Coturnix japonica: one gene and its partner. The protein of the gene in region 1 interacts with the protein of each later gene in a biochemical or structural test. Links are inferred from orthologs where the notes say so. Each region holds a gene or a part of one and is shown in the gene's direction. Other genes may lie near its edges. The genes, in order: PLAU and alpha-1-antitrypsin-like.

The links.
Region 2: the proteins of PLAU (region 1) and alpha-1-antitrypsin-like form a complex in vitro, tested with the Homo sapiens proteins (2 studies listed by BioGRID). The link is inferred for Coturnix japonica from reciprocal best matches to the Homo sapiens genes PLAU and SERPINA5.

The regions. Positions count from the first base shown.
Region 1 is NC_029521.1:13,073,649-13,083,132, reverse strand, and holds PLAU (urokinase-type plasminogen activator), read left to right. Parts: upstream 1-819; 5' UTR 820-948; intron 949-2,352; 5' UTR 2,353-2,402; coding exon 2,403-2,462; intron 2,463-3,043; coding exon 3,044-3,098; intron 3,099-3,259; coding exon 3,260-3,364; intron 3,365-3,919; coding exon 3,920-4,085; intron 4,086-4,468; coding exon 4,469-4,560; intron 4,561-4,652; coding exon 4,653-4,842; intron 4,843-5,414; coding exon 5,415-5,569; intron 5,570-6,150; coding exon 6,151-6,291; intron 6,292-6,450; coding exon 6,451-6,599; intron 6,600-7,479; coding exon 7,480-7,674; 3' UTR 7,675-8,653; downstream 8,654-9,484. UniProt on the Homo sapiens protein: Specifically cleaves the zymogen plasminogen to form the active enzyme plasmin.
Region 2 is NC_029520.1:41,321,055-41,331,225, reverse strand, and holds the end of alpha-1-antitrypsin-like, read left to right. Parts: intron 1-1,009; exon of another isoform or gene 1,010-1,122; intron 1,123-2,303; 5' UTR 2,304-2,315; coding exon 2,316-2,973; intron 2,974-4,406; coding exon 4,407-4,677; intron 4,678-5,336; coding exon 5,337-5,484; intron 5,485-6,287; coding exon 6,288-6,482; 3' UTR 6,483-6,567; downstream 6,568-10,171. UniProt on the Homo sapiens protein: Heparin-dependent serine protease inhibitor acting in body fluids and secretions. Inactivates serine proteases by binding irreversibly to their serine activation site. Involved in the regulation of intravascular and extravascular proteolytic activities.

The DNA.
Region 1 (9,484 bases):
GCCCCTGTTCTGAAGCAGCACCTGAAGAAACTGTCTTTCATCAGCTACCCAGCTGTGGGAGACCTGCCTCAACTTAGTCACCCCAGTACCTGAGGCTGAATGCTGCCACTATGCCTGCAAGTACCACGCGTGGGTTTTGTTATTCACTGCACTGCTGCAGTGTCACAGCCCAATGTGAGAAATCACACTTGACTGGGAGTAGAGGAGACTGTCTGTTTCCCGGGGCCTGCAGTAGGAGACAGGATGTCCCCAGTCATAAAATGGTTGCCCTTCAAATAGCTCTTTGGAAAGCAGAAACTATCACAGCAAAGACACGGCACCTCTTGGAGGAGTGCAGGACCTCAGGCTATGGACACTGCAGCTCAGTGCTCACCGAGCAATGGCTTTGAGACAAAGGAGACCCTAAGGCCCAGAGCTTCAGTACAGGTGTGTTCTGTCCTCACCCACACCTGAGTGGAGTTAATTCTCTTAACCATAAAGGCATTTAGGCTTCATTCTTCACGGACGGCGCCACAAGTCTGAAATTTAAATACCCCACGCTTGTTTGCTCCTCCAGGCACACTTCAACACAAGCCATTCTTTTCGTAGCTGCCTCTCAGGTTTCTCTTTTGTTTTAACACGCCTAATTGCACATCGCTGGCCGCCCCACGAAGGCGAGGAGGAGCCCCGCGCCCCCTTCAGGCTGCTCGCGCTCCCCCGCCCCAAAACCAGCAGCAGCCCCAATTCCCCGAGCCGGCCCCGCTGCGCACACAGACAACAGCGATGCTCCCGCAGCCCCGGGGGGCAGCCCGGCCCGAGGGGGCGGCGTGGCCCTGCCCGGGGGCGGCGCTGCGGAACGCCTGGGGGCGGGCGGGCAGCGGCTGAGGAACCGCCCCGGCCGGGCCTTTATAGAGCCCGTCCCGCACCGCTGCTGCAGCTGCACCGTGCTCGGCTCAGCCGCTTCAATCGGTAAGTGCTGCGTCCGCGGACAGCGTTGCGGCAGGCTTCAGAGATCGCTCTTGAAATCAGAGACGTGAGAACATAGATTGCGTGTAGCGGCGGTAACGGCAGGGCTTTGCTCTGCACGCTGCCAACTGGCAGCGGGATTCGAGCAGAAATGGGCAGCGCTGCTGCTGGATGCTGTGGGGTGGGCCTGGGAACAGAATCACGGTAACGGACAGCAAATTTCTTGCATACCTGCCGGGGGATTAAAAATTACTGCTTTAGTGTTAATAACACTCAAGAGAACGTACATCTGCTGCAATCCCAGCTGCATTGGAGAAGCACAGTCTGCTTTCCCACGTTATGAAGCCTGCCTCTGAGCAGAGGCTGCTGCTGCATTAGCAGCTCACTTTGAGCCATGTCTTTCTTGAAATAAACCCACTGTCCCTCTCACATACCTGGGTCTTAAAGTCCAGGCACTGTACCTCTCCATCGTTAAACTTAAGGGATGTATTCCTATTGTCTGTAGTCATTCCGTTTTTGAGACTGATCTAAAATTGGTCTGATGGCAAAACCTCTGAAAGCACGGAGCTGCACTCCAGCACCTGCTCTGCAGTGCGTTGCTCACTAGTGTCGTACAAGTCTGTGGCTTTTAAATTTCACTCATTTTTTTTTAGAAGATTCTTTTCCGTTTCATAAATAATAATCTGGCATTTATTCCCATGACTTGCACTGCACATTTTTATATTTGTTGGTTTTTTAAGCAAATTAGTACTCAGTATCTCTTTCCCCCTACCCTTTTTACAGGCTGATTTGTAATGCTCACTCTTGGGCTGATTGCTTTGTGTGCTCGGCTGCAGGAGGCAGCTGCACGCATCAAATCAGGACAGAAGAGGTTTAAGCTTGTCTAATACCATACAGGCAGTAACCGCGGGACCAGACTTTCAGGACTTTGCAGTGCTCAGCGAGGTGCCTGGGCTTACGCAAGGGCTCAGCAGCTCAGGAGGCACTGAGAGCTGAGTGTTCCTTCCCACGCATCAACATGCATGTTCAGACCATTTAGAAGTCTTGCTGCAAGGCAGTAATAATCAGTTAAGCAAGCACAAAGAGCTGGACTGCAGCTAAATAAATCTGCTGCTTTCTGACTGCTAGTCCACACTGCAGTTACCCAGAGTATGGATTTCTCCCATCTCTGCCTCGTGTGAACTCTGCAAAATCTGGCTGTGTTTCAAAATGCACAGAATAGCTTTAAGTGATAAAATCATACCCTCTAAGCTGATTTATGGAAATAATATGCAGACATTCCACTGATAAGTCAGGTCTTAATTCTTCTGCCCACTGTATTGTTATTCAAACCAGGTAAAACAACAGCAATGAGAAAGCTGATGCTGCAAGCTACAACGTGTCACTGAATTCCTCTTTTATTTTCAGAATCGAACGAAAACTAACACGAGGAACAAAGTGAGAACTTAACTGTCAACATGAAGTTACTCATCTTTCTCACAATAACTCTCTGCACGCTGGTCATGGGACTAGATTCAGTAAGTTTTGAAATAAGTGAGGAGGTTTTTTTTTACTTAGATCCACTTCTGTTTTTCAATTATACTTCTGCTTTGGACAGGGTGCTGGGCTTCTGACTTTAATTCTTCTTTCTGCTGCCTTTGCATTTACATCTGCTGCACATATACCTCTGGAAAAATGCGTATTTGAACCCTTTGTTTCTTCCGATTCCTTTCTTCCCTGAGATGTCTTCTAGAGTTAAAATAGTGAGGACATCACACAGTATCCAAGAAATCCAGCACTTATCTTTTCATAAAGCAACTCAGACCACAGAGTATCAAGAACTCAGTGGTGCTTTTTACGTAGGAGGGTATTGGTCCTCCACTAAATTTGTCTTCGCCCTCCTGAATACAAAGCTGAAAAAGGAGACATGGACCCGATTTTGAATATTTTGACTATCATACACAAGCATGAAGCACCAAGGTCCCCAACAACAGACAGCTGGAGCACGTTCCACCTTTGCTGGACTGCTCAGTACCTGAGAGTCGGGGAGGGAGAAGTTGTAATAGAAACATGTCAAAGGAACTGCCTCCTTCAATAATTTTTTTCCTTTTTACCTTAGGTTTACCTCAGGCAGTACTACAAGTTACCACATAAACACAGATCCCAACATAGAGGTAAGTATCTGTTCTAATTAAACATAAAAAGAACCTGCAATTACATCTTCATCAAAGAGAGATGACTTTCAGTGATATGCAGCTAAAACTTATTTTGCAACTGCATTTCACTCAACCACTCAAGTGTTTCACCTCTTACTAATGATGTCTTTTATTTGCAGAATGCCACTGTCTGAATGGTGGAACCTGCATTACCTATCGCTTCTTCAGCCAAATTAAACGTTGCCTGTGCCCAGAAGGATACAGTGGGCTTCACTGTGAAATAGGTAAAGTATCCAATTTCCTTAATACTAACTAACTGACTGAACAGGAAATGTAAGCAAATCACAAATAAGGATTCTCAAGTGAAAGTTTTAATATCCTTCATCAATTTTTAATAATAATCAAGAAGAGGAGAAACAGCCAAATATCAAAGCAAAATTGGAGTCTTGCATTTTCTTGTCCCTGCTTCCTTACAAGTGTTCTTGCACTCCTCATGAATGTTGTAGCTTGTAAACTTGTTTAGGAGTGTCCAGAAGCAAAACAAATAATTATAGCATGAAGTACACTGAAATTGCTTTAAAAAAAGAAAACAAAACAAAAACACACACACACAAAACAAACCACCAAAAGCAATATGCATGGATTAAAGCATGTTATTTCATGCATAAAATTCAGAGAACAAATCCAATAAGAATAGGTAATCAATTCAGGTTTTGTATCATCCTTTTTTATCATATAACACATGCATGCTTTATCACTAAAGTGATCCACACAGATTACTTCTGTTTCAGAACAATTATAAAACAGAACATGCTGCTAACGAATGTTTGTTTTCTCAGACACTGACAGCATGTGCTACAGTGGGAATGGGGAGACATACAGAGGAATGGCAGCAGATCCAGGTTGTCTATATTGGGACCTTCCTTCAGTAATCAGGATGGGCGACTACCATGCTGATTTGAAGAATGCTCTGGATCTTGGACTGGGCAAACACAACTACTGCAGGTAAGATGATGCATCATTCTTCCTGTGACAATACCAGCAGAGCTTTGAGTGATACTACAAGTCCAAAGGGATAGCAGAATATTTCAGAGATCAACTTGAATTTAAAAATATTTGGAACGGGACTCTCTGAAGTGCCTGGAGTTCTTACTGCTTACTGAAACAGCTGGGAATTTCACAGAGCCATCGTATCACATTAACAACTCCAAAGGGAAGTTTCACTTATGACAAAACAAACTGCCAGTTCCGTATTCAAAAAATTAATTGGTTTCTCCAGCATATCTTACAAGAAAGACACCTTTGGCTTTTCCAGTTAGAATTCTAAAATACTATCCTTTTTTAAAGAACTGGGTTTATAAAAAAAGAACATTTCCTTTATTTTCCAGAAACCCAAATGGAAGGAGCAGGCCCTGGTGCTACACCAAAAGATACGGATACTCCATTCGAGAAACACCTTGCAACACTATAGAGAAGTGTGGTAAGTGACACTGGTTTCAAGACAATGGATTTCTAGCACAAAGTTGATGCTTGCCAGCCATGTGAACATCTGTACAAAACTCTCTTCCATAGGGCACACATGTGGCCAAAGAAGCTTCAGCAAGTACTTCAAGATTGTTGGTGGAAGCCAGGCTGATGTTGAGACTCAGCCTTGGATAGCTGGCATCTTCCAAAACATGATGGGCACGGACCAGTTTCTGTGCGGTGGCAGCCTCATTGACCCTTGCTGGGTGCTTACAGCAGCACACTGCTTCTATGATCCGTAAGTGTAAAGTTCTGAATTTCTGCATCCTTCCTATCTGCAGTTTCCTTTGATAGATTTTCTATATCTTCCCCTCACTCTGAATGAGCAAACCTTAAGCAGACAAAGAGGAGCAGCCGTGAACTTTAAGCCTCTGAAAGTCCATGCCTAGCAAAATACAAACATCTTGGTGGATTATGCAGCTGAAACAATTTTAGCTTGAATTGGAGCCGGGATTTCTCTTTAGCTTAGCTATTCCTAAAACCTAAACATTGTCTTGATGTACATTCAGTGCATTTTTTTTTTTTTCTTGTGGAAAGCTGATCCTCCTTGCATTCCGCCAGGGAGTTTCACTGCTGATACCAGACATGAGTAGCAGCTAGCCAGGTGTGCCTCTCATAGTGCATGAACATCTAGCTTATTCACCTCAAGTGGTGAATCAGCAGACCTTCCTGTAGCATACTTGATCAACACTCTTGTTGCTTTGTCTTGTCTGCATTTAAGTAAACATGAAACCAAACTGGTACTTGATTTTAAGTTGTTAACCCTACTCTCAGAAATAGCAGCCTTCATGAATCTTTTTACTTTAACAGGACAAAAAGGCAACCGAATAAGTCAGTCTACAAAGTCTTGCTTGGAAAGTCTGTACTGAATGCTACTGATGGACATGAGCAAGAGTTCATGGTGGATGAAATAATCTCTCATCCTGACTTTACAGATTACACAGGAGGCAATGATAATGATATTGGTAAGTGTCATCTTAATATGAACCTTTCAAACACTGAGGAATATGTCAAATAAATGTACAACTAGAGCAGAGATGAAGGGAACAGGAGCCAAGTAGTTCTAAGAACTGGGTCAGTGGTGAGCAAGATCATTCCATGTCATGTGCCACAAGGTAGACAGACACACAGATGCAAAATGTGTCACCTGACATATAGTAAAATACTGTAGACTGAGACACAGTGCATGCACAGTAGGTTACATTATTTGGCAAGGGAATGCCATATCAGCTAGCATATTAGGTAGCATATTAACTAAAAGTTCCCCTGAAATAAGCCTTATTTCCTGAAGTCTCTCCCTGCTTTACAAACCTCTCCCTAAACAAATGAATTCAGATAGGTTTTTGTAACATGCACAGAATGGACTTGCCACCCTTGCACTTGACACTGAACCCTTGCCTATGACCTGAATTCTGTTACTCAATGATGCAAAATTATTGTCACTAAATAATGATCCTTATAATTCCAAAAGCAATGAGATGAACCATATAATGAGAACTTCCTTTACAAATTTAAGTAATCTTATGTTTTGTTTTGTTGTTGTTAGCTTTGGTAAGAATAAGAACAGCTTCTGGACAGTGTGCAGTAGAAACCAACTATGTCAGAACAGTCTGCTTGCCAGAGAAGAACCTTGACCTGCACGACAATACCCGGTGTGAAATAGCTGGCTATGGAAAACAGAATTCTTGTAAGTGAACAAATTCTTTCCAAACTGTTACTTAGTCTCTGTTGGAAATGGTTGACTTTTTTAAAGACCATGACCTTCACAAGACCCAGAGACTCACTGCTACTACTCCATGTACCTCATTCAACTCTCAAGGATGACCTTTTTTCCCCTTTTTCCTAGACGATATTTACTATGCTCAAAGGCTGATGTCAGCCACTGTAAACTTGATATCACAGGACGCTTGCAAATATAAATACTATGACAGTATCAGAGTTACTGACAACATGGTCTGTGCTGGAGACCCGGCGTGGGAAACAGATGCATGCAAGGTAAAAAAATAATAATAGTAATAATAAATCTTTGTTGTTCATATAAATGACTTTAAATGAAGCATACTGAATGGATCAACTATAGCATAGCAGCATCTTGTAATTCTGCTACTTAAGAGAGTCTTCGAGTAGAGGGAATTCACTATAGCTAGTAGAGTTGACTCAGGGTGGCTGAAGACAGGGAAGCAAGTAAGAACATGGAGTTTGGTGTAAACCCCTCCAGGTCAGCCTCTCACAGAGCAGCAGCTGCAATGCCTTAATCGTTGCTGCTCTTGGAGATGTTACAATTTGTTCTGGCAGTGGCTGGTAGATAAACACATCAGAGGCGGTCTCAGCTACACTTACTTAATCTTAAGTACAATTCTGCAGTGGGATAATGGATGGCTAAAAGAGATGGATAACAGGAAGATACTGAGGCCTTATGCAGATTCCTCAAAACTGGATTTGCTTCCCTCCACCTTCACTGGGCAGCCTGACCAATACATCTCTTAAGAAAAAACAGAGTTAGCCTTAAGTGTGCTGGGGGATGATTAATGACGTGATGCAGAATAGGGCATGTTTGCTTTGACCTTGTTCAACCACCTTAACAGCTATGATTATGAGCTGTAACAAAGTAATTGTTCCACCTGGGCAAGCTAAGGGGACTAGAGAACTCTTGACTGCGCTGTAGTTGAAACAGGAGCTGAACATTCTCTTCCATTTATACAGTACTCTAAATATATATATTAAATATATATATACACACACACACACACACACACGAGAATTTTAGCTTTTATCTACTGTTTGTTTCAATTCAGAAAAACAGTAATCACAGGCTCCCTGTTATCAAAGTTCCATCTACAGAAAACATCCTAATACGTTCTTTTTCCATTGTCAGGGAGATTCTGGCGGCCCCATGGTCTGTGAGCACAATGGCAGGATGACACTTTATGGGATTGTCAGCTGGGGAGATGGCTGTGCGAAGAAAAACAAGCCTGGCGTTTACACCAGAGTTACTCGCTACCTTAACTGGATCAACTCAAATATGAATGCAGTGGTTACCAAAAGTCGCTCTTTCCCTGAACCAAAGTGACTGTTTGTGTACTTCTGGACTTAAATGACAGTAAGACTGTGGTGATGCCAGGGCACCAAAGCCCTGAACGTCAGAGTTCTTGCTTTTAACTGATCACATAGATTGCCACTACAGTGTTTCTGATGCAGAAGTTGATACTATCTCACTACTCTTAATTACTGAAAACCACTCAATGGGAAACTAAAATATTTAACATTTAAATGAGTATTCCCATGCACAATACTGTACACATCAAGTTAACTGTCCACTTCATTTACAAACTGGCATTTGTTCTGGAGCTTTTGGTGAAGCTTTAAGTTATTTTACTTGTGCATTTTGCATACAGCATCTAACATCTTTTCCCATCACTCCAAACAATGTGGAATGATAGAAACCTGACCTGTGAAGACCAGTACTGGGAATGTGAACAGGCTTTGCCTCAGAATGTGCAAGAAACTGCATCAGTGTTGATTATCATTAATGTGTGAAGAAGGACTGAAGCAGAACTTGGTATACAGGACTTGTTCCCGTAGACCCAAAGAATACTAAAATCTTTGTGATGGCAACTACAGCTGTGTTAGAATTAAAAACTCTTGTGGTATTCCACCAAAGAACTGCACTAAAGAGGGAAAACAAATAATGTGACTACACTTCCAGGTCCCATCCAAAGGAGCCTGGGTTCCCTTAGAAGTCTGATGGTACCACTTTTCTATATTACCTATGCAACACAGAGAAGAGCTAAGGATTCAGCACACACTGAGTGTTGAAAGCCAGAACCTTATTTCCATTCATCTAACTGATATGATATGGAAACTGCTTCCCCCCCCCCAAGACTTTCACTGATTTTATTTTTAAACTTGTTTTTTTTTTTTTTTTTCTTTTTTTATAGATGGAATTATTTGCATGAGGGCTGGAACCTCATCTTATTTAATTTTTACTATGTTTAACTTATTATTTGTATTATATATGTAAAACTATCAATAAAACTATTATTCTTACATAGCTGTTCCTTCTTTTGAAAGGGGAAGACTATGTTTTGAAGTTCTAATGTCAGTCACTGTTTCATTTGGTAAAATGGGGATGTCCAAACTTCCTTTCATGCATCTTTAATTAATATCTTCAGCTCTGGTAGACGGTACTAAAGTAAGTACAGCAGATAGTGATACAGCATGCAATAAATAATAACCAAGATCCATACAATATATGTTGCAGGATTTTGTATAAACTAGATGCTCCCAAGTAACTGCAGCACATTTGGTTTGAATTCCTAAAGCAAACTACATCATTTTGGTTTCACCTTAAAGAAATACAGTTCACGTGTTCCATGATTTCCTACACTGAGTTCCCAATCACTTGGTGGAGGAAGTTGTAAAATCAGGAACTTGGTTTCAAAAGTTCATCCCCTACCTTTTACAAGGTGTGAGTGCAGGTGTAAGAGCTTAGAATGCTCCCCTTACCAACCTAATGCTGCAATATGATATCATAGGTGATAAAAGGAAAGTAATAGGTTTTGCTTTCCTCAGTAATTAGTCACAAGTAGAAATTTCAGAAAATACTTCATTTAACATTGATACTAAGCTCTTCTAAGTAATATCTTCATTAATATAAACTGCACACCAAGCAACAGCTTCACTTACACTTCAGTTCACTTATTCCCCCACGTACACTTAAGAAAGAAGTTCAGTCAGAAAAGAATTTGTAACACAGCGGTAAGAACAATCTAATAATTAAAGCCAACTACATTGCCAATTCTGGACAAAATATTATAATCATTAACACAAAGTACATCCTTGCTGAAGATATGTTCTGTTGTTTGGGCAAACATCAAAGA
Region 2 (10,171 bases), on another chromosome or scaffold:
CTGGCAACCAGTCACAAGTGGTGCTCCCCATGGGTCAATATAGGTGCTTATCCACTTTAATAGCTTTATTGATGATCTGGATGAGAGGACTGAGTGCACCCTCAGTAAGTCTGCAGGTGACACCTAGATGGGAAGAAGTGTCAATCTTCCTGAAGGTAGAAGGACCTGCAGGGACCTGGACTGGCTAGATTGGGCTGAAACCGAGCATATGAACTTTAACCTGACCGAGTGCTATATTTGGCACTAGTGACACCTTGATACTATGTTCAGTTTTGGAGCCCTCACTACAAGAATGACACTGACACTCTGGAATGTGTCCAGAGAATGGTAACAAAGTTGTGAAGGGTCTGGAGCATAAACCTTCCGGGGTGTGTCTGAGGGAACTGGGAATGTTTGGTCTGGAGGAGGCTCAGGGGAGACCTTGTAGCTCTCTACAACTACCTGAAAGAAGGTTACAGAGATATACCAAAATCCTCCGAGCAGATGCTAGCTCCTTGACTATTTTAGAGATTTCTGTGTGAAAAGCATATTAATTTCAATACTATCAAGGTTAGGAACCAATGTGATTCTGTGTGATTTTTGCACTTCAGCAAAAACACGCTATCTTCAGGAAACAAGGGAAGTCTCTATGTAAAGGAATTGGGTGTGTATACTGCTCTCACAAATGTCAAATACATGATAGGCCAAGTAGCATCACAGAAAAGGAGAGGTATTCCCCATAGCTATCTTACCCTGAACTTAGATGTCAGAGCTTAGTGCTGGGTGGAACTGTACAGCTCCAGAGGAAGGTCAGTTTCCATCTCAGGTAACACAGAGAGAAAAATAGCTGTATTTGGCACAGAATCTCATTTCCAATTAATACTTGCTTTGGCATTGCTTTATGACCCTCATGGAGCATAGCACTCTCCTCAACCTACTGCCTTTGTCCCGTGGTCTTAGCTCTGATTGGAGTAGGGATGTGTTCACGTGAATATGGCAGCCAAGAAAATTAGCTTCATCAGCATTTAGCTTTATCCTTTTAGATTATCTGTATTTGAGGCCATGTAATGTTTAACAGAGGAAAACAGCAGTAAAGCAACAAGAGCAAAATCCATGCAAGAGCAGGACCCTTCTGAATGCAATGTAAGTACCCAGATATCTTTACTTTAAAGACTTTGATGCAGCTATGTGACATTTAGTTAGTGAGTCATGAAGCACATCTGCTTTTAAAGGTGAAACTTGGTTTCTAAGCACTCAAATGACAGCTGAATTTAATTTCCAAGAAATACTGAATAGCAAATCATGGATATACATTACAGCAGCTCTACAGGTATAGCTCTGCTATGAATATTTATCCAAAATATCTATTTCGTTTCTAGAAGAAATCATCTTATTTAAGGAGAGGGAAAATATTCTGACTTTCCAGCAGTCATTCTGGTATGATACAGTTACTGAAGTTCTCTAAAGTATGTGGTGTGATAGCCAAAGCTCCAACGTGAATGAGGTGTCTTATTTACACCAGTGTGTTTCAAGCAGGATACATAAAGTTACCTTTGCTGAAAGGAGGGTTCCCTAGTCATACAAATTTTAGACAGACAGGATATGCCAAGCCTACTGCAGTGGCTGCACCATCTCATCACCATTGTGGGTTGCACAAATAGAGGAACCCGTCTGGAAGATGTGCATTAGTTGAGTGATGGTTTAAAATAAAGCAATGTATTCTGATATAATCAGGTGCTAAAGCAGGAAAACATCACTAACTTGCTTGTGATTACTCACTTCATGTGTTAAAATGAATCAGGAATGAGAGAGATGATGTTATGACTGTTGTAAACTTTTCTTGTTTTCCACGGACATAGCTCAGTCATTTGACATAAGCCTCTTACAATCACAAATATCATGCTAAACATGAGAGTTCTTAGAGGTAAACACAGTAGATGCAAGAGTTGTTTCTGATGTGTCACCATACCATAAAATGGATCTACAGTGAGATTAAAAAAAAAAAAAACAATGAACCTTTTAATTTTCTTTCTCCTTCTGAATCATGTTTCCCTTTAATAATCACATGCTACTCTCTTCACAAGCATCCAGTAACTAGGGACTTGTGTAGCTGGAGGAAAGCAGAACTGAAGTGGGCAGTAATTGATATGAGTTACATCTGAGATCAAAGCAGGAGTGTTTCAAAACTGTGTCATAATAAAGGAGCAGGTCAGGAGATTAACAGCGTTAATAACTTTTGTGGGTAGCAGCAGATATAAATAAAAGATGATATGTTCACGTGGCCATTCTCCATGGTCCAACACAATTTATTTTTGTCCTCACAGTAGCAGAAAAGTATGATGAAGGCCATCCTCCTGCTATGCTCACTGCTGGCCATCCTTTACCCTGCAGTACCCAGTGTGAGACAGACTGACCACCACAATGAAGAGCCCAGAGCAACTCACCTTCATGAGCAGCATCCTCATGAGGAAGATTCTCTTGCTTTCTGCAAGCATATAATCCCCAGCAACACGGACTTTGCCTTCAGGTTTTACAGGCAAGCAACTGTCCAAGCACCTGGCATGAATATTTTCTTCTCCCCAGTCAGTGTCTCTGCTGCCCTTGCCCTGCTGGCCCTGGGCTCCAGAGCTACAACCCAGGCTCAGCTGCTGGAGGGGCTGGCCTTTAATCTCACCAGCAACAGGGAGGAGGAGATACACCTTGGCTTTCACCATCTTCTTCTCCTGCTGAACCGTCCTGGCAGCCAGGTGGAGCTGAGCATGGGAAATACCTTGTTCATGGACAAACACCTGAAGCCACTGACAACATTTCTGAAGGACATGAAAAATCTGTACAAGGGGGAAATTATTTCTAGTAACTTTCAGAATTCCACTGAGGCTAAAAAAGAGATCAATGATCATATAAAAAACAAAACACATGGGAAGATAAATCAAATACTTAAGGACCTCGATCCAAACTCTTTAATGGTACTTGTTAACTATATTTATTTCAAAGGTAAGTTCAGTTATACAGATGCTACTGCAGTATCCAAGTTTGCCTTGGACTAAAACCAAATCCCAGATTATTTATGAATTACTTTTAAAAGAAGGACAGTGTTAAAACTATAAGAAGCATTGCAAGTTTGCACACTTTGAAACCTTTTAATACATCTGTGATTTTTTTTTCAAGCATATTTCTAGCTTGTAAGCACAAAAATTTACTTATTTGCAATCTTCAGGACTTATCAGAGCACAGCACATGTATGCATTTGTGGATTTTTCTATCAGACTTTTGTTTTATTGCAAAAATTACTCTGCAGTCAGTATATATCCTGTATGAAGAAACAAACCAAATTCCTAAGATTATTAAAAAAATGACAAATCTTCAATTGGCCTACAACCTAGGCTTATTAAATAGGTGCATATCTATGGAGTTGGGCTCTAAAAGTTCTACAGCCAGTCATTACATTATATATATACGCCAGGATGGACTTGAGAATTTGCTGCTTTAGCAATGATTAGCTTCTTAAAGGTAATATCCATTCGTAGCAGCATGCAGGATGTAAACTGAATTTATCACCCAGGAAGGTGTCAGTAGGTAGAAACATTCAGCAAAATAGTTTTTATTTCAAGCGCTCTATTAAATCTAGGTACCCTAGTTAGAAGTGGATTGTGATGATAAGAAATTATGATGGGAGTTCAAACTCATAAAGTAGTTGAAGTACTTCAGTGTTTATGCTCTACTACTTAATTTTCAATTTTATTTCATTTCTGTTCAATATTTAAAAAACAAATGCACTTAGATCTGGAATGACAAACAGTGAACTGTATGTATTTGTTCAGTGAATGACTTGATTTAATATAAGCAAAATGCAACTAAAAAGTCATTTGAACAAGGATGGAAGGTTAAAGCCTTAGAAGCCCTGTTCCACTTACTGTAATGTAGTTACTATCAGACCCGAAAGTTCAGGTTGTTCTTTCACTGAAGTTTTTCTTTAGTGATACCAGATGAGAAACAGATGAGAAAGCATGGGAGGAGCATAACACATCACCTTTAAAAAGGCAGGCGTCTGCTGGGGAACTTACATAGCAAGCAAAGTGGTTGTAAATTAACTCATTCGACCACAGTTAGGCACTTTTATTTTCTTTTTCTTCACATTTTTCCTTTTCTTCAAATAAATTTAAGGTAACATCATGAAGTTATTTCATTTGATTTATCTGACTTGCAACACCTGTCTGAAGTTTAATCTTGGATAATTGTTACTTGAACATATTATAGCAGAGATGACAGGGAACAAGACCTTGAATAAATTTTGATTTCCTTTGATCTTCAATTATGAGCATAAATCTTTAGATATGAATGTATTTGGTGTAAATTAGACTAGACTATTTTAACATATCCTCCTTAAAATAAGCATGCAAATGTATTCTTTCTCTCTTATTTTTAAGCCTACTGGGAAAATCCTTTCAATATGAAAGGGACTCACAAGGATTATTTCTATGTGAATGAAAAGACTTTGGTTGAAGTGAAGATGATGATTCGAGATAGCTTTTATGACATATATTCTGACAAGAAGCTGTCATGCAAGGTGGTGAGGATTCCTTACAAGGGAAATGTTTCAGCACTGTTTATCCTGCCCAATGAAGGAAAAATGAAAAGGCTGGAGGATGGTCTGATGAAAGACACAGTGTCTAAATGGGAAAAATCACTTGAAAGACGGTAAATTCTAATTTGATACTTCACAATAGTCAGAACCTGAGGCCTAAACACTATAATCAAGTTTTACAGTTATAAGGTTTTGTTGTTCAGTAGAGGTTTAAGTAATGGGACAGGTATAAATGGATAGACTAAACAATGTACTGGTTTGCACAGGTTTTTCAGCAGCAATCTGAACTGGCACTGCATTGTAGTGAGGGAATAGATTTGTGAGCTGAGAAACAGCTTCAATTTCTTTACCTTTTTCAGTTGATAGTCAAGATCTCCACTTCCTTTTCCCAAATGTAGTATGTTAACAGTGATACTACTGTGACATAGAAACCCGATCCCTTGGAGAAAATGGGGTATGATTAAAAAAAAAAATAAAAAATAATATATTGAGGGCTAGAAAATGAATGCAAAAGTACCCACAATGGTGCTGGCACTATCACTGCTTGTTGTCTATTCAGGGGGTGCTTGTAAGATTGGAAACAAGCCCTAAGTAATGTCTTTCTAATACTTCATTTTCCCATCATCATCCTGACCACTGTCTTCCCACATTTTGTTGCCATTTTTTCTATATTTGAAGACTAAAATTTCAGCACAAAATTACCAGCAAATTGGGACACTTCAAGTTATACCTTGATTATAATAAATACCATAACTCTCTTTTGAATTAATAGGAGGATGGAAGTGCATATTCCAAAAGTATCCATTTCTGGCACCTATGACTTAAAGAAGATGGTCATGAATCTGGGTATAACAGATGTGTTTTCCGACCAGGCTGATCTGTCTGGAATCATAGGAAAGTTCAACCTGAAGGTTTCAAGAGTAAGTTGGACAACAGAAAAGTCTATGAATTCCTTATTTCCTTTGATTTAAGTTATGTTCCAGCATAATTCTTAGTTCTGAGAATGATTTATACTCTGTGAATTCAAACATTTTAGCTTGTAGAGAAACTTTAAATTTTTTCAGACTTATTTCTGGATCTTGAATATTGCCTTCCTTCTGTCAGCCTGAAGTTGTGACAAAGGCTGAGAGGCTTATATAAATTTTTCCAAGAACAAAATAGTTTCAGCATAGAAAACGAGACTCCATATATTAGGGTTGCTTTGCATGAGCATATCTAGTACAAAAAATGGCCTATTTTCTTTAATGCATGCATGTGATTATAGAATTTTAAAGAACTTTCAAACTATTTCCATAGAAGGCACTAGCAAGTGCTAATCACATAAGAGGGATCAGGCTACAGGAAAGCTTCCTGTTCCCTGGGAAGAACAAATAATACAAAGATAAAATAAAATTTTATGGGCATTGAGAAAGCAGTAATTGTAACATTATAGTATCTTGATTTTAGTGAAACAAATGTTGAAAATGAAAAAAAAAAATGATATGAATATTTATTTTCTACTGACAAAAGTTTAATCCATCACGTATTAGGGATACAGACAGAACAGCTCCTCCTTATAGAGATGACGTTGCTAGAACACCTCCCTCAGACTAAGTTTCCTTCTTAGATTGTGACCTCCTAGTCATTTCTGTGAATGACAGGAGGTGAATTAACTTTGTGCCAATTTTAGTCATTCCACCCCCATCCTGTTGTGTACAGTAATACTTGCTGTGTTTCCTTGTAGGCTATTCACAAGGGTCTGCTGAAAATTCATGAGAATGGCACAGAGGCTGCAGCAGTCACTGGCACAGAGTTTGCTCCTCATTCTGTTCCTCCTGTTATAAAGTTCAACCGTCCATTTTTGCTGTTGATTGTTGATCAATACACTGAAAGTATCCTCTTCATAGGAAAAATTGTAAACCCACTGAAAAATGGTTGATCATGTGGCAGGTCTAACTGATTTGAATAGCACTTTAAGCATTTATAGTCTGATGTAATTAAAATTATTTTAAATCTTTTAGTAATTTTATTTTTTTTTCTAAAAATAATTAAGACAAGAATGTGGTCGCTCTTAAAATCACCATCCTTGCTCCCTCCTCCAGTAGAAAGTAACTAGCAAGATGCGTTCACCATGGAATTATGAAGCAGTGCATACATCAGTCTTCTAATGACCAATACAATATCACTGAAAAAGTTAAGTATCTAGCTGAGAGAAGCAGTTTAAAACCTGTTCAGTATATAATGAATGAGCAAGCAGACTGTTTCTGAATAATGAGTAGGAAAGTAGGAAAAGGCTGTTGTTTTCTCCAGCTGTCTGCAGTACTTACCAGGTCCTGGTCCTGAAGAGATGACATGAAAATTTAGAATATAAATGCAGCCTACTTAGGTATATCTTATGTTTTCTTTTCCACATGAATTTTATTGATGGGAAAAGGTCATGTATTTCCATGAGAAAATGATTGCTTGGCACTCTGAGGATGTCTGTGCCAATCAGACATTTTATTCAGCTTTATGGATCCAAGGTACTGTTAAAATTCAGTCAAATCTTGGAACCTGTGAAGGGCTGGAGCACCAAGAAAAGATACACTTGCCAACAAACACAGCCAGACTTTTGTGGTATCGGCCTGACTCCTTCACTGTTCCACCCTTTGGATTCAGCAGCAGCAACTATTTAAGAAGTGTTAAATACTTTTATCTTTCTCAGTGTGTTGTTTCTCATTTTCTTAAAGATTTACTCGACAGATTATGAGAGCAATTCAATATTAGAACAAGTTCCTCTGTGGAACCTGACCTTTCTAAGGCAACAGTTACCCATCATACCAATCTCTGCAATCAGAGCATTTGCCTTGGTTACAGGGATATTCAAGATTATTCATGTTTTCACAGCCCTCCCTTACCTGAAGATGGACAATCCTACGACTCCAACATCCTAATTAAGCTGAAACTGCAAGAGTAGAGTTAGCATTAGATCTGGAGTACTGTGAAGGATATTGTCCTGGAGGATAGAAATCAATGTCTGCTCCTCCCTGAGGATGGTTTAAAATTGAGTTTGGCAAATTAATCCTGATGAACTCTACAAAGTGTGCTGTTGAGTGGGTGTTGGATGAAACAGCGATAATCTGTAATATTGGTAGGGCTTCTAGAAAAAAGGAGATGTAGGATGGGAGGATAGTAATAATTCCCTTTCAGACACTGGAATAACAAGTTTTTTGCCATGCCCCTTGTTAGAGTATCTGACATGGAAGTGCATGTAAAGCAAAGGCATGCCACTGAATTCCTCCAGGTGGAAAAATGTGCACCTACTGACATTCATCAACACTTGCCAAATACTTCTGGAGACCAAGCAGTAGAGGCAAACACAGTGAGGCAGAGGGTGATGCATTTCAGGAATGGTGATAGCTGTGTGAAAGACAAGCCACATTTCCAACATACAAATCTAGCTGTCACACTGTGGTATGGATTGCATCTCAGTCATCTCACTCACACAAATCAATTCATGGTGGTTATTATCACAAGAAATAGCATTTTGTAGCTTACAATTTGCTCCACCAAATAGTGTTATTGAGCTCTTTGTACTTTTTTTTTTTTTTTTTTTTTTTTTCCCCCATGGAAAGAAATAAAAGGCATTACATTTGAAGCAACTTATCTCATTAGAGTATATTTACAATGTGCCCTGCAACACATATTGCAGGGCAATATGGAGGTACTGAGCTGTTCCTGACCTAGCTTTTTGGTGCTTCAGGTAGCTGATTAGATATCCTTCTATCAGGATATCCCATGCGGAGAGTCCTGTAGGACAAACTACCCTTTTCACAACCAGACATCACTCAGCACCTATCTTAGATTTCCAGTTCTCTTACTGTGTGGATTTTAAAATCCCAAGGTAGTGTGCTATGCAAAGCGCTTTTGCCCACAGGTTTGCACAAATGCAAGAGTAGTGTGAACCTTGCTCTTTACCCTCTGAGCCCTAGATGTTGGCATCATTTCACCTATGTGTTGAAAAACTGGGTTACGATGTTTGATGTCTAGAAAAAAAAGTAGCTAACTCATTCTTTGCTTTACAAATAAATATTATTTGCTTTGATTAATATTTACCAGTGGACATTAACTTAATATTACCGAGCAAAACGGAGAGTAGGGAAGGAGCACTGTGAATGAGAGGTCCAGCAGACTCTTTTTAAACTACACTGTAAGTACTATATCATACTTAGAAGAATTTGAACTTGTATTGTCTATGATCTCTGCAATTTAATACATAGTATTTAATTATGAGATGATTTTATTTTGAATACGTAGTTGGAAATCTATCTTCTGGAACCATGGTCTATGCATTGAGAATGGGATTCCATCAGTGATGCAGCTCTTAGATACTGTGTCAGGATGACAAGGGAGATGAGGTCCAAAGTGAATGTTCAGCTGCCATTCACCCCAAGGTGAAACACTGAACCCCGCCTCTACTACCAGAGGAGTAAATTCACTTGCAGCTCGATGTCCTAGATACTTTAGGCTGATACAGGACTAGCGCAGGAGCTGAGAGTAATATATTGATACCACAACCATCCTCAAACACTGCAGTTAAGTGGCACAGGGGCTGACACTAATCTCTCTCAGAAGCAGATTTCTGGTGTTACATACAGAGTATTTACAGGATCATAGTGTACTGTTTTCATTTAGATTTTACTTTTTCTCTGTCTATAATTTTATCTGTCATTTTAGGCAAACTGAGCACAGTTCCCACACTCAGCACTTAGACATCTTAGATCTCAAGTGTTTCATAAAGGGCAGCCACATAAGAAGAAATCCAAATTTAACAACTCTCCATGAAATGTTTGATATAGGACCCAAACCTGGCTTCAGACACAACCTGAGGTAAACCATGGGGCAGATTCACACACTGTAGAATAATCATGCTATTGCTCTGAACAGTGACATCACCTCTGTTTTCCTGAAGTACGCTATCTCCTTTATGTTTTTGAGATTTCTGATTTGAGATAATTTACATGATATATTCTATGGAGAACATACTTCCACAATATCTCCTAAAAAGGGAAGAAGAGAAACTGTGGGGTTATGTAGAATTTGTTTCTATCAGTTTAAGGAAGACGAAAGGTCATCCAATTACCCAAATATATACACAGCAAGGCCACAATTAAGCTTCTGCTCTAGCTTTTCCTAAACTCTTGTGTGTTCAGTTTTATAGCCTTATGGATACTTTATGTGCAATGAAGAAATACAACAAAATTTCTTGATTTATCCTCATTTTACTGAAACATGTAAGATAATGTGCTGAAATTACACAGTTCTTGAGTTCAGAGCTGCTGTACCAGAGGCAGAAAGATACAGTTTAAATGGTGAAGCATCAGATGGATTCTCTTCTACTATAACTGATGTTACCTCTTCATTACTGCAGTGCATGAAAACCCAAGTCATCACAAGATTATGTCTACTGTGCTCTGCCAAAGTGCTTCCTGAATGTATAGGAACAATATGCAAACTCAGTTGTATACACAGATACCCTTAGAAATGCAATAATGCCATGCTGATCAGACACAAGGACAATTTCAGATAAGGTGCCTCACAAAAAGCAACACCTCACAAAAACCAGCACAGAATCATTTCTTCCCTAGT